Linked DNA regions of Oreochromis niloticus. The protein of the gene in region 1 interacts with the protein of each later gene in a pairwise test. Links are inferred from orthologs where the notes say so. Each region holds a gene or a part of one and is shown in the gene's direction. Other genes may lie near its edges.

What was found. The genes of interacting proteins can lie anywhere in the genome.
Region 2: the proteins of traf3ip1 (region 1) and pcnt interact in a two-hybrid assay, tested with the Homo sapiens proteins (2 studies listed by BioGRID and IntAct). The link is inferred for Oreochromis niloticus from reciprocal best matches to the Homo sapiens genes TRAF3IP1 and PCNT.

The regions. Positions count from the first base shown.
Region 1 is NC_031987.2:3,857,429-3,865,383, forward strand, and holds the start of traf3ip1 (TRAF3-interacting protein 1), read left to right. Parts: upstream 1-4,935; 5' UTR 4,936-4,962; coding exon 4,963-5,217; intron 5,218-7,331; coding exon 7,332-7,400; intron 7,401-7,955. Other genes in the region: agr1 (anterior gradient 1), read right to left, coding at 332-381, 1,383-1,466, 1,975-2,038, 2,136-2,212, 2,906-2,958, 3,236-3,299, 3,488-3,587.
Region 2 is NC_031983.2:17,163,303-17,170,614, forward strand, and holds the start of pcnt (pericentrin), read left to right. Parts: upstream 1-4,303; 5' UTR 4,304-4,463; coding exon 4,464-4,511; intron 4,512-7,312. UniProt on the Homo sapiens protein: Integral component of the filamentous matrix of the centrosome involved in the initial establishment of organized microtubule arrays in both mitosis and meiosis. Plays a role, together with DISC1, in the microtubule network formation.

The DNA.
Region 1 (7,955 bases):
CACTATGTTTTCTAGTGATTCTCACTGAGTTCTTTTGCTCTGATGTAATATTCACTTTCAAATTAAAAGTCACAACAACAACACAGCTCAACACTGCCTAATCATCTTCTTATGGAACAATACCATCATAAACAGTTCTAAATAAGCATTATCACTGTGTTTTTAATGAGTAGTTTAATTATATATTAAGTGTTGCATTAAAGTGAGAAAAACTGAAGATGGCTTTCTTTTCCTTTATTTTGGTTTTAATGAGCACCAAAAACATTTAAATAATTCAGTTCTGGCCACTGAGCAGTCATGTGTGGAAGATGCTGAGACGTCAGGCACCACGTTAGAGTTCGCTGTGCAGCAGGACTTTGGCTTTCTTCATGTTGTCGGCCACTGTGGACAAAGAAGGGACAAATAAGAGCAAGGCCTGCAGCGCTCTTACATGAGTGAAGTAGTTCAGAAATGAAACCTAAACCTAAGCTGCAGGTGCTACTTTTCCATTACTACACATTTAATGGCTTCAACTTCTTGTTTTAAATATTTTTTTTTCTTATGGGGTTTGTTTAAGAGATGGGAGATTTACTTTGTGCTTTTTAAATATATCTTGTTTGAAGTTTTTTAAGGTTATTGGCAGGGCACGGTGGCATCGTTGCCACTGTTGCCTCACACTCACTCCATCGCCTGGCTGGGGCCTTTCTGTGTGCAGCTTACATGTTCTCACTAGGTACAGTCCAAAGGGTTAGGTTAACTGGTGATTCTAAATTACCCATAGGTATGAATGTGAGTGTGAAAGGTTGTCTGTGTCTCTGTGTTAGCCCTGCAACCTGTCCAGGATGTAGCCAGATGGGATACACTCTAGCCAACTCTGATGGATGACTCTTATTGTGTTTAGATTTTAAATATATTAAAGACAAATGTCTCTGGGACCAACAACCACAAGGTTTGGACCTAGAATAACTCCCTGAATGATTTACAGTGACACAACAGTAATCAGCAAACACATAATGAATGCTGGTGCTTCAAGTGTGTTAATTGTGCTTTTAGTTTCCAAAGCCATGATTTAATGATTATATATCAGGAAGAAACAGTGTCACATACCTCACTTGCCTTCTCTTTTCCTCCTAAAAAATTAACTCTTCGTCTTTGCACTGCATTTGCAAAACTCCCACCTGTTTGGCTACTAGTGCTACAAGTCTGCTAAAGTTTCTCACTAACATCCACACGGAGCTCAAAATTCTTTCTGTCAGAACAATCTCATAAAAAAACTTAGTCATTTCTGTCAAAATATTGAGGAAGGGATACAGGGATTCAAGCTGTGGGGGATTAGTGTGTCTGCAGTCTGCTGACAGGTGAGCTGTGCAAACTGTCATTAGAGAGAGTGAACAGTCACTCACGGTCCTGGATGTCACTCGCTGTGTAGGTGTAGAGGTGGTTGCTGTACTTTCCTGTAATGTCTGTGCGCACAGTCATGGTTGGATCTGTAGAAAAACCACACACATGAACAGCTCAGAAAAGTAATCAGTATTATGTGACAGCTGATGTGCATTTTGTAAACTGAATGTGGTTCTGTAAAATTCATTATCTAAAACAATGAGTGAGAAAGCAAAAAGAACCTTGGGACTATCCAAACCATTAGATCTGGCAGGGTTATGCATGCTTTTGTTACATCTAGACTGGACATCTGTAATGCACTGTAGACTGCAGTTAGTCAGTCATCTCGTGCTCATTTACAATTACTTTGAAATGCTGCAGCCAGATAACTGAAGGGACAAGAAGGAGAAGTACTCCAGTGTTAGTGTTAGTGGCCTTTCACTGGCTCACCGTGCATTACAGAGACTCCAGCATGAAGGGGTGCTGTTTGTATTTAAAGCCTGGTTTAAATGGTTTTATTCTGTGCTATGCATGTATCTCTGTTCAACCTCAGACAAGGAAAGTAAACAATCTGTTCTTCTATATTGAAATTATATTAATAATGTAAGAATTTACCAACAAAGAGGATTCTGGGAACATAGTAACCGTCAGGTGCCAGATTCTTGTCCGAAGTCTCTTCCTGTGTATAACAATATAGTACACATGATGCACATGATTTTAATAATAAAATAATTATATATATATATATTCTGCATATATAACATATCTTTAATTACCACCACGTTGAGCATGATGAAATCCTCTTTTGCCATTTTCTGGATAGTCTTATCCGCAACAAATGCCTTCTTCAGGTCTGTTGAAATACTTTGGTTTAGTATTATATTTAGACTGGCTCTCAAATAATTATGAATGAATTATGAATTATATGATCTGGAAATATTAATAAATGTATTCTGCCTAGAAAATGTCAGAAGGAGGTAAAGCCTGTTGAGTTATTACAGACTGCATTTATAAACTTGCCTAACAGGTCAGAAACAAGTCTGGCAGGTTGGACCTTTAGAATATCTGTGTTGAGCATTCACGTAAGGGAATACACAACACACTATAAATATATGAATCCTGTCTTGTTAAAATGAGGACACATTACTAATAAAAAAATATATGCAACTTGCTGCAATCAAACGAAATGCTTCAGTATTCTGAGACTTTCAGAGGGAGGATGCAGAACGGGCTGCTTTTGGTCCACCCTAGCAAAACTCAAAATTTAGAGCCAGACTTCACTCTGTAGGTGGTCGTCATTGTTTATGGGTTAAGAAATGCCAGTGGAGACTTCCACTGAGCTTATTTCACAAAACCAGCTGAGTGATTTATGAACATAACTCTCACATACTTCACTGCCTGCTTTGTGGGTATTACAGAATGCACCCATTGTGTTCCCCGTGAAAACAAACAAGCCCAAGTCTGGGTGAGAAAGACAGCGCAGGAGGTGCAAGCCTATATTTTTTAATATATATGTATACTTAATAAACCAAAGTAGCAGCAGTACCTTTACTGTGTGGGCAGTTGTCTTTATGATGAATGACCATGAGAGGTTTCTGACTGTGAGAGCAAAACCACAGAGAAAGAACTCAGTACATTCCAAAACACAATAAACACAGTGAAGGGTGTGAAGGCAGTCTTACACAACCAAATGCCTTAGAAAGCAAAGTCCCCGTGCTGGATTTAGAGACAGATGAAGATTAAAGCAATAATGTGTTTCCCTTATGGAAAAGTAATGGAGCATCATTCCAACGCAGAAAGACACAACAAAGGAACAGACTTATCCAAACAAAATAAACTGACATCCAGCACTTTTACCCAAGGTTTAGAGTCCTACCTTTTGGCCATTTTTGCTAGGCCATCTTCATAATTTTGGGCCCAGTTAATACCACCTCCCCATCCTGCAGGCAGGAAATAAAAATACAGTTTTAAGTCAACAAAACTGCTGCATGTTGCCAGTATATTAACTATGTTCCCAAACAAGCAAAGTTCTGACTTTATTATGTCTGACAGCTATAAATGATCTTATGCAATGGTTCTTTAGACATTAACTGGAGCTGTGCATATTGAAAAAAGGAGATTTGCCCACCTCTTGACAAGGACTGACTCTTCACTTTCTTTTTAGCTTTCTGTTCCCCAGCACTGGCACAGAGGCCAATGAGCAAAGCAAGCAAGACCCAGCGAAGCATCGTTCCTTGTCCTTTCAGAGAGCTGCTGTGAAAGTTGGCAAATGAGTTCCATTGAAATTCAGTGACATTTATACTTAAATACAAAACACAAATCAGTTTTAGCTTGACTCACATTTGACAGATATATAAAGCTGCACTGACTCACCAAACACGCCTAACTAGGATTCACAAGGCGGTATGCAGAGTAACAATGAAGCCAAAGGAGCAAGCAAGCAAGAATTCATTAATGGTTCCACCTGAGACCATGTAAGTAAAATGGTTTATAAGCGGTAATTCTACACATAGTTACCACACTTGTATTTGTAAGGGGGGGGAAAAAATCAAGTCTGAATTTATGTGAAAAAGTGTAATTTGAAATAATTATAATTAAACCCCCACCAGTTCCTTAATTTACAAACCTTTTTCAAACTTTTAGTCAGGCATCTAACCATTTGAAAGAAATCATAATACTTTTAAAAGTCAATGAAGATATTCAGGTAGCAGGTAAATGTCTTACCTCGTCAATATGAAGCAACAAGCATCTGCTCTGACCCTCCTATGTGCGCTCTCTTTTGTCAGATTTTTTTTTCCTATCGAACTTGTCAAACAGGTATATCATAATAGGCTTAAAAAAACAGAAGAAGCACGCACATGCGCACAATTGTGCTGTGTAGTGGGATTACACCAGCAGATAGGGAAGCTAGCATTAATTTGGCTATTATCCCTTCTGTAAGTTTAAAAACATATATCCTTTATGGGCTGTTAGATGAAACTCGAGTCTATGGATTGAGAATAAATAAATAAATTTAACTAAATCAAAATAACTTTTTATTTTAATTTAAAATTTCGTTCTCTTAAAAAGTGTAAGCCTGAAAGTACAGTTGTTTCTAAAACTGCTTTCTTTCTATGACTCTTCCGCGTGTTGGTATAGAGGAAACTCCCACTCCATGCCAGAATAAAGACAGGGATATATGGCCCTTTTTTAGGCCATTTTTATTTTTATCCTGGCCATTGTCTCCACAACTTATAGGACAGGCAGCGGAGTATTTTTTCTAAAACGAATTGATTTCTGTTGTTGCAAATACTGATACCGGAGCTCGGTCCAGTGTAAAGGAATAATTCTTTCCACCTCTGCAATCCCCAGTACTGTCATCTTTATAATCTCGCTTCCAAAACTTACAGTTTATGAATGCCCTGTTTTATTTTGTATGTATATTGAATGCTTTTATCTAGTTGTTGCTCTATATAACCACGCTGTTCTGTTTTGGCGGCTATAATAAAGAATTTTCTATCTACTTAGCCTAGCCATTTATCTAGCCGATTGTTAGTTGTTGCTATGGACACAAAGAGAGCGCTTAGCAACAGTAAGCCTTTGGCGCAGGCGCAGTCCTTTTTAATGATGCACTGTGGGATTGCAGGACATAGACATAGCAACCAGGCGACAGAGTCACTAAGTTTTTCACTCTTAGTTAGTTTCGTGTATTTGTTCTTGATTAAAAGTACTTATCTTGGCTTTTTATTTACTACCATGAATGCGGCAGTGGTGAAAAAGACCCAGGACACGCTGGGCAAAGTGATAAAGAAGCCGCCGCTCACCGAGAAACTGCTAAGCAAGCCTCCTTTTCGATACCTGCACGATATCTTCAGTGAGGTGAGACTCAGCTGCTGACATTACACTCGAGAAAGCAAAGTGGATTTTATTTAAGGGGCACGACACTCTTCTTCTCAGAAGCCAAGCCTAATGCCACTTCTAAGTTAAAAACACAGACACAGGAGCTAGTTAGCCAGCTAATGCATAAAGGTTAGCAGGAAGCTAACCAAGTAGGTTCGCGAATATTACGGAACATTTTGTAAGCTCCAATTTCTGCAACTTCAGATTGTCAGTAACACTAATCCTGATAGTCAAGGGGTGCATTAGCAATTCACTTAAATGACAGGTTGCGCTTTATTTAATGTGGTGGGTTAGCAAGTGAGCTAGTTGTTTCAGCAGCGTCGTCTTGTTGCTAGGCACGACCTGAGCCCACACACGAATCAACAAACCGTTTTCCCCGCTGTTGGCTTAAAGGAGGGCACCTGCCAGCTAGGATGAACCTGTGCTAGGTTCTTGAATCCGTCACGTTGAGAACACAGATGCTGATCAGCTTATGATTACAGCTAAAAACAAGCACAGGCTGTGCTATAATTGGTGCCTCTTCTTTGATTTCCCTTCATTTTTTTTAAAGCTACTCGCAAGCCATGCATATATGATGAAGTTATAGCCGATGTCTTTCTGGTGTTTGCCAGGAAGATCTGTCTTCCGTGGCCTAGAGTAAAACACAGTAAAATGTCTGAGTTCTTGGCAGCTCAGACTCTTCAGTAACCCACAGCAGCTTTTACTCTCAGATGAAGAGAAGTGCAGATACAGATCAGGGTCAGCTACGTACTCTAGTATTTTATGTGCATTAGAAAAGCAATTGTACTACGTGAAAGTTTTCTGGTTCAGAATGGGTCTAGGTTGTGATTACACCTGGCACTTCTGACACAGAAAATAGAAACGCTTTTATTGTCCTGACTCCCTATGCGCTCTTTTCTGTTCTCTTTCCTCTGCCCCTCCCTGAGCATGCTTCTGTTGGAGGATTCCTGTTAAAAGGGAGTTACTCCATCCTACTATCACAAAGTGCTTGATCATAGGTGGTCACTTGATTGTTGGAGTTCTTTAACACTGTAGGTTATAACCTTGCCATGAGGGAATTTGGAGTACACAAATAAACTTGAATTGAATTGAATACTGTTTCTCTAAGCCATTTTATAAAGGCCAGTACTTAAGTACATGCATGAGAGAAGTAACAGGCAGTATAATGGGATGAAAGGAAACAATATAAGTACAGTAAAGGTGATTTTCCTCCTCAGAACAGTTTTGCCCCTCCCTTAGTTAGATAAATCTCATCATTGGCATTATGAAATCTAAGATTGCTGGAATTTTAAAAGAAAAGACTAATGTCTAATGTGTAAACAAAAGAGGCTTTAGTAAACCTCAAAGGAAAAAAACTTTCTCAGTTTTTAATTTTTTTAGGTTAACTGCCATCTGTTTAATTAAGAGTCAGAAATAACAGGACGATATATGAATGTATTCTAATGTTATCTGTAGCCACCCTTCCAAAGATCCATTCTGAGTAAGTACAACTGCTGCTATAGTATCATGGTTCTTTAAACACACACATACACACACACAGGAAACACTGCATCATCTCCACGGTCTGTTGTCAGTGTCCTGTTGTAAATACACTGCTGATCTTTATGATCAAACTTGTTTTGCTCAGTTGCGGCTTCTTTCATTTTCTTTTTCAGCATTTTATATGCACAGTTGACTCCTTTTACATAAGGTGTCAAGCAGAGTAAAATCTGTTACGCTCTTCTCAACAGAGGTGCCAACTCATTCTCACCTGTTCAGCAGTCTTATATTTCACTCCAGATTCATGCATATTTGATAAAGGGAAGAGTGTCGGCATGTTCGACTCCCCTCCTCTGACTAGGAATATGTCTGAATATGACTGTAGGACATAAACTGTTAAATCTATAAATGTTTTTTTTGTTGTTGTGTTACTTTAATGTTTAGGTTAATTCTCAGCAAATATTGTTTTTTTTAGCTCACAGGTGAAAAGCACTATTCCTGCACATACATGCAAACAGACTTTGGAGTGGACTTCTCGATGTACAGAAGCTAAAAATGGCATATAGTTGTAGTTTCATGTCTGTTTAAAACAACCTTTTTCCCACCATTTTCAGGTCATCAGGACTACTGGTTTTATGAAAGGCCTGTATGAAGAAACCGAAATGAAGTCAGACAGTGTAAAGGTACGTCTGTTTGACAGCTATGCTTATTAATATGACTAATTACAGTCTTTCCTCGATTTTAATCAACTTTTTAATACAATGGTGTTATGTCCTAAGAAGCAGCCTTGCTCATTTATGAGGTCACCCAGGCATTACACAGGACCGTGTGTGTGTGGCGGGGGGGGGGGGGGGGGGGGGGGGGGTAACCCTACCCTACCCGTTGTCTGTATAACACGCTCTTGAGAAGGAACGTCTGCCAGTATGTGACAGAGAGAGCATGTCAAGGTGTCAGAACTCAAGGCTGGTGTTGGCAAGTTGACCCCAGATTAAAACTGGATGGGAGGATGCTACAGCTGGAGGAATCTACTCAGTTAATCTAATATAAATGGTGTTTTTAAAAACTTGATTCCTTGTGACCCAATCGTCACAGTAGCAATCTGCCACTGTAAAGCATCCGAGTTAAACTTAAACACTGTTAAAATTTATTGAATCGTGTTGATAGACTCACATAAAAGTATCCAACCTTACATTTCCAAACCCTTCATGGTTATAAATAAATAAGCTTGCTGGATATCA
Region 2 (7,312 bases), on another chromosome or scaffold:
GCCAGGTCTTTACACTGGGAATGATGCACTTTAATAAGTTGCTAATGCAGAGTGTCACTTAACTTGGATTGTTTTGCATCTGTATATTTTCGTACACATATTGTTAAATTATTTTTATTTTTCAAAGGGATGTGCCAAGATGATGATGAAGTACTGTCGATGGAGACTGCAGTGATTAATGATAATTTGAAGGTGTTTAGCGTTTTTGTTTGTTTATATTATAAATCTTGTAAAATACCAATTTGTACAGCTGAAAATTCGTCTATTAAAAACGATGCAATGAGTTTGTGTGTGTAGTGAAAAACAAACTACAAACATGATCCCGTTTATAATCTGTTATGATGCGTAGGTTGACGGTGACTAACCTTTTGCATGCCGTATTTTAACGTCGCTCTAGGCTACATGAAGTTACAAAAGGCTGTCTGCAGCGCTAGCTTAAGTTTAGCTTGCTAGCGTAGTTCGCTGCTAACATAACGGCCGTTTCGCCTTGACATTACGGAAGCTGAAAGAAAAGTTTCTGAGACTTGTGAAATAAATTGGCGGCGTTCAGTCTGGTTGTCATTCTTATCGTGTCCTGTGCGCTTTGTCGTCAGAGCCCGGATAGCTCAGTCGGTAGAGCATCAGACTTTTAATCTGAGGGTCCAGGGTTCAAGTCCCTGTTCGGGCGTCAATCTTTTTCCCTTCGAACGAAGAATGACGAACAGTTTAATTTCTGCTCTTCGACAAAAATGAACACATGAACGATATTCAATGCTGCAGCACACATACCCATTTTAAAGCTGTATGTTTTAAACCTTCAGTCATATAGTTCTTACAAGCTGCTTTGAGCAGTTTTTTCTAAGTTGCCTCAGTTTTTTCTCCGTTTATTAGTTTTGTTTAAGATAGTTTTCCTAAGTGAAGCAAATCTATTCTCTCAAAGAAGTCTACTTAAGATCAGTCATTTAGATCCAATGGTGAACAGAGGAAATAAGACAAGGAGACTATGTGGAATGAGGAAGTATGCAAAGATAAGATAAGATAAGATGACCTTTATTAGTCCCACAGGTGGGAAATTTGTTGTGTTACAGCAAAAGTGCAAAGTTATGTAGCAGAAATTAGAAAACACTGGAATGCAATAAAATACAATAAAATAAAATAAAATACTATATACAATAGAATAAAATAGAATAGAATAATATATACAATAGAATAAAATAGAAATACAAATACTATATACAACTGAGTAGGAAGAACAAAGAAAAAATGGAATGGTCAGGGAGAAGGGAAAGTAGCCGGATGTACAGGGAGGCTAGGTATAAAACAAAGAGAGAGGTGGCAAAGGAAAAAAAAAGGTGTGTTGGAAGTTTTATATGAGCATGGAGACTAAGAAAGGAGAAAATAACTTGTATTAATTGGCTGGAAGGGATGTGCAGCAGGTTAGGGTGATTAATTATAAAGATAAAATTGGTATGAATGAGTGAAGAGAATGTGTTGAAAACTTGGAAGAAGTACTTTTTCATTGATGAGCCTTACCACAAATTTACGTGTATGAGTTGTTAAAGCTAGGTTAAGAAGAAAGATGACGAACAGGCAAGCAACACTCAGGCTTTGGAAGGAGCACTGCAGATGTGACGTTTGTTTGAGAGTAATGATGGAGAAAGTGCAGAGAAGGTCAGAAGGGACTGCACTAGGTCTTTGTGGATCTAAAGAATACAAGATATGATAGGGTGCCAAGAGAGGAACTATGGCACTGCATGAGGAAGTCAAGAGTGGCAGAGAAGTACGTGAAGATGGCGCAGGACATGAACTGAGGACCTGCTGTGATGGAGATGGTGGCACTGACAAAAAGACAGGACAAGCTGGTGGGAGAGTTGAAGATGTTAAGATTTTAAGCGGGAGTAACCACAATGGACAAGATCAGAAATGAGTATATCAGAGGGACAGCTCAGGTTGAGCAGCTTGAAGACAAAGTTAGAGAGAGAGGCAAGGCTGAGATGAGAAAAGAGGAAGACCACAGAGAGGATTGATGGGTCTATCAAAGGAAGATGAAGGTTGGTGTGTCTACATGTGGAGCAGGGAAAAACGTCACCCCTGGTGGCTGATGAGCATCTATCAGGTGGCTGATTGGAGGCAGTTGTGGTGATCTAGGGGCAAGACTGCAGTGATGCTGATGTTGATGCACAGCAACACTCTTTGTTTTGAGATCAGGTCTTACAAACATGATATCCATGGTAACTTGCCTGGAAGTAATGATTTATGACTTTGATGAGACAAAAAATAGTAATTTGGTAAACAGTGTAGCCATTTTTTCACTTTGTCTCTATGTGTCGAGGTGTTTGTGTCTGTTTACATGCTTGAGAAGTGTATTGTGAAAAGCCCAGTGACTGAGCCCACCAGGTGGTGACAGGGACATGGGAGGTATGGCTTGGAGCATGATGTCATGCATCATGGTCTGATCAATCTGGGCTTTTTGTGTCAACATCAGCTCCACCATGTCAAACAGTACCAAACATATACTGTAGCTATACATGACATAAGCACGGCTGTTATGCACCCTCTGTGGTGACTGTTTTGCAGGGCAGGGCTGAAGGAGAAGAATCCAAGGAATCTGCAGTTGTCGTGGCACAGGGTGCTGCGATAGTTGCACAAAGTGAAAAAGTATCGTGTGGTTTGTCCTTTTTCTCATATATAACCAATAATTGTACAAATTAAGAAATCTCGCAAAGGATATTGATGCAAAAAACAAATACTGTAAGAAGCACATGGATAAATAATTTATTTTAAAAATATATACTGTTTCCATGTTTTAAAACTCAAATAACCATGTATAATACTAGATTAAATCAAACTGCACATTTTCATTTTATTTTGGTGTATATGGGATATGGGATTTGGGCTAATGCAGGGAGGTCAAAAGATCATTTTACTTGGGGATTTTACCAGAACATTTTAAATCTAATCCGTGCAATCTTGTACGCAGTGTAGGTCAGGTTGGGTCAGGTAGCAGGAGGAGGAGAAGAATATTAAATACACTTAACAGACCAAATAGAAACAGAGGGGCACTGGGGTGTTATGAGATCTGTATCTCATAGTCTGCTGGAGTACATGAGGAGGCTGAGTTGGGGCAGGTAGTGGTAGAGAGGGCAGGAAGGACAGACCAGTGGCTGGATGATGGAGATCGGTGGGTACTGTGGGTGGATGGTGAGGAGCACTGATGAAATGCGACTCGTGCCATGTTTCTGATCATTAAAAGCTATGGGTTCTCTGTCAGACTTGGATGTTCGGATATGGAATAAAAATAAAAGGTTGAAATACAAGAGGCAAGTCCTACTTTCATCAGAATGCATGGAGAAATACTTCCATCCAAATCCAAATTCAAGTTGTTCCAATAACTTTTTTTATGAAGTTTTAACCACACAGGCTTACAGCTTGATTTTGTGACTTTTATGTAGAGTTTATATTTTAAGCCTATTTTGTTTGACTTGTACAGTGCTCTCGTCAGCTGAGGTTGTTCTGAATGTACTATAGAAATAAAGTTTGACTTGACTTAGCTAAACTTTACTTCATGTCTTGGCATTTGGAGTAACTCGGACTTTTTTCAGACAAACTAAAGCCACAGAGTAGCTGCCATGGGACACACCTGTTTATTACTACTGGACTTAACTATGACTTGCATTACCTGCTTGGTCTGGTTCCTCTGCTGCCAAAAAAAACAAAGGGTGGGACAGTGAAGAAAACCTTCAAACATTAAATGTGTCCTATTCTTTTGATTTGTCACATACAAAAGCCTAAAGCTGGGTTCTGAATTATTACTGGGCTCTGTTGGATGGATTTAGTGCTTTAGTGCTGGCTGCTGCTGATGCTCACCTCATTTGGGTATAGTCAAAACCTTTCTAACGTGGCACAATCATTGATTCCTAATAAACGGAAACGCACTGTTTGAGTACATTAGGCACTAATCTTTAATTAATATAAACTGTAGATCGTTGCTTTGTGTTTTAAATAAATATAATGTGAACGGTATTAATATTTTTAACCTGCGTACTTCACTGTGAACGCCCCCTAAATGACAAACTCCTCATCCAGCTGTGACAGGAGTATGATTTGTATGAGCTAATTGTGGTTGGCTACAAGAGACGTCAATCCAGTCTAGGCGGCTTGAAGCAGAAATCTGATTGGTTAGTTGAGTGCTAGTTTTGACTGATATATAAAGTAGGCGGTGCTTTTAACTTATTTTTAAACAACACGAATTTCATTGGCCGAAGGTGAGGAAAGTAACTAATTGATTGGGCAGTTAGGCAAGGGAAACTCGATAAGGGCGGAGCTACGTTGACTTGGCGGCCATACTGAATATTGTCTGTTGACAGTTGCATGTAAAGATTTGTTTAAGGGTTAACTTATACTTTGAAGGAAGGTTTAGCGTTATTTTAAGTTAAATTAGGACGTATGTCCTAAATCTTTAACGCGTTTATTTCGATCAAGTCATGGATGAAGATGAACGTCGGAGGAAGGTAGAAGCTGGGAGAGCTAAGGTTTGTTGCTAACATGTAACGCATGCTAATATTGAATGCTAGCACTTAGCAAACTCTTTTGTCATAGCTCTGCGTTTATCCATTGCTAACTACACCCACCACCAAAATGACTGCACATTTGTTGTGGCTTGAATTACCTTTGGGTGTTAAATTGCAGGCTCTCACCATGTATTTCCCGCGGTTGGGCGTAGCATATGAGAAGCGAAGAGTAACATCATTTATGAAGCAGGTTAATCAGCTGGTAAATAAAGGCAGTTTTCACATAAGTTACTTGGTAGTTCAGCAGTAAACACATACGTGATTGTTCCATTGACCATAGCAAATAACTTTCATTTTTATTTAGACATATGTGTTAAGTTTGCCTTTAACTCGTGTGCAGTGAAGATGCATTCGGTGGGAGATTTTTGGGACATGCTTGATTTATTTTGCTATTGAGAATGCAGGTTGCACATTATTCACAGGCCATTACAGCTCTAAACAACGTGGATCAACATCATATGTTTACTCACTGAAAGGGTTTACTTGTGCAGTAGTTTTAACAGAGCCTCAATTCCAAAGTAAACTATTCACCAAGTCAGTCATCTGTGTTTCAAAATTGTGGCAAATCTTTGTGAGCCTATCCCGCACTAAGCTCTCTAAACAAGTACTATTTACTTGTATCTAAGTGACATAGTGCTCAGAAATCAGGAAGGAGGCAATTTTTTTTTCATTCTTTTTGTTTACTTGTCATACATGTCAGATCAAACTCATTTTAATGTTAGCCAAAGACCCCCGCCACCACCCAGTGAATACAAAGTACAAAAATGCAGTTTTTAAATGATTTCATTTAATAACTGGTTGCTCCAACCTTGGCAGAAAGAACTGCAATCTGTGATAACTGGAAATGAGTGCTTCACCTCACTATGGAGAAATATTGTGCCACTTTTCGTTGTGGAAGTGTGTGAATTCAGATGTTTTGCAGCATGAACAGCCTGTTTAATCCCATGCCAAAGCATCTTAATGGGGCATAAGCCTGGACTTTGACTAGGTCCCTCTAAAACCTTTTTTTGTTTTGTTTGAGCCATTCAGAAGTGAACTTGCTGGTGTGTTTCAGGTCATTGTGCTGGTGAGAACTAGTGAGTCAGACCTTCAGACCGCAAACTGATGGTCTGACATTCTTCTCCAGGATTTTCTGAGAGAGCAGTATGCATGCTTCATTTAGTTATAGCAAGCCCCAAAGTAGCAATTTTTTTTTCCAGCCCTCATCAGTTTTGAAAATGGCTACTCTGGTGTTTACAAGTAGAAATAGCAAGCAGCTGATTTCACCTTAATGGGAAGCCATATTATTAATGGGCTAGTAGCCAAAAATGGCTTGTCCCACATTGACAACAAGCCATGTGGTCTAGAAACAATGTATAAAACTAAGTCACCTTTTTAGGATAGCCATTTACACTGGATGTGGTATATGATGTAATCCATCTATAATTTGTGATGGAACTCATTTTGGGGAAAATAATAATAATAATAATAATAATAATAATAATAATAACAAAAAATTACTCAACTACAACATTTATATTCCTTATAGAAATCTTCCACCATGCCTCGGAGTCAGAATGTAAGTATAGAAAGTGGTGGATGAAGGAGCAAATCAATGACTTTTGGGCTTGTGGCTGTTTCTTCTTTGATTTGTCTTTTCTTTTTGTTTTGTTTTGTTTCTGTTGAGTGATCAGTCACAGCTTTCTTATTTTTCTGCGCCGTGGGGTAATCGCTGTCACCTTTTAATGTATAATGCTCTTCAAACAATACAGCATCTGAAAGGAAATCTGCCTGCAGTCATGATCTGAATGCCTAAAATAGCCATGCACCTTGCGTATGCTGTCATGTTAGTTACAGGCCATCAGGTGGTGCAGTGCACCCATGAGATTGGGTGAGGTGGAGGATGTTGCGCGTGTGTCTCACATGAATGGTGTTGCTATGGTAATGCAGTGCTGTCTTTTTCCTTTACTATGTTTGTGGCATCGGTAAGCTCTGATTTCTCTCTGGCATTAAAAGCGTTGCACAAATTTGACACCATCACCAACGTGGACAGCAAATTGACCCATTGTTGGAGACAGCAGTGCGCCCTGACCCTGGCTTCATGATGACATTGTTGAGAACACCGTAGCAGCTTTCAGCAGTCCAATTACATCTAATTTGACTAGAGTGAGCTTCAGCCAGCTTGTTAGTCAGTCTCAGTAGGGCGGAAGTGGCCTTGGGCTAAACACAGCTCATCCTGCTGTCTTTGAGATGTGATGTGGGCTTTTTTTTTTTTGTTCTTTTTTTTTTTTTTTTTTTTTTTCTTTTTCTGTTTTTTTTTTTTTGTTGTTGTTTTTTGTGGCAAGCGGAGGCAGTGAATAGGGTGATGGATGGAGAATGGGTGCGGTTTTAAGCAAGTAAGGAAAGAAAGCTAACAATTTAAGGTAGGAAAACATTTAAGTGTGGTTAACTTGATAAAAGGCTGCTTTCAAGAGTCGGACACTGAGGTTGTACAGTGATGGATGCATTTCAGGCTGCTTATAAAGCAGAACCTACAATGTGGCAGTGTAGTCAAGGAACATGTGATCAGAACAAGGTTTTATGCACATGCACACATGATATTGTTATGCATCACGCTTGTGAGTCATCACATAAAGCAACAAGTAGGTCTCCCAGGGCCATGTAATCTCAAATTGAATTGAGCATGCACACTCCAGTGCTGCTTGCCACACATAGAGTTCTGTCTCCTCCTCTCTATGTGAATGCATGTCCCAGTCTCCACCCTCTTTCTTTAGTCTAGACAC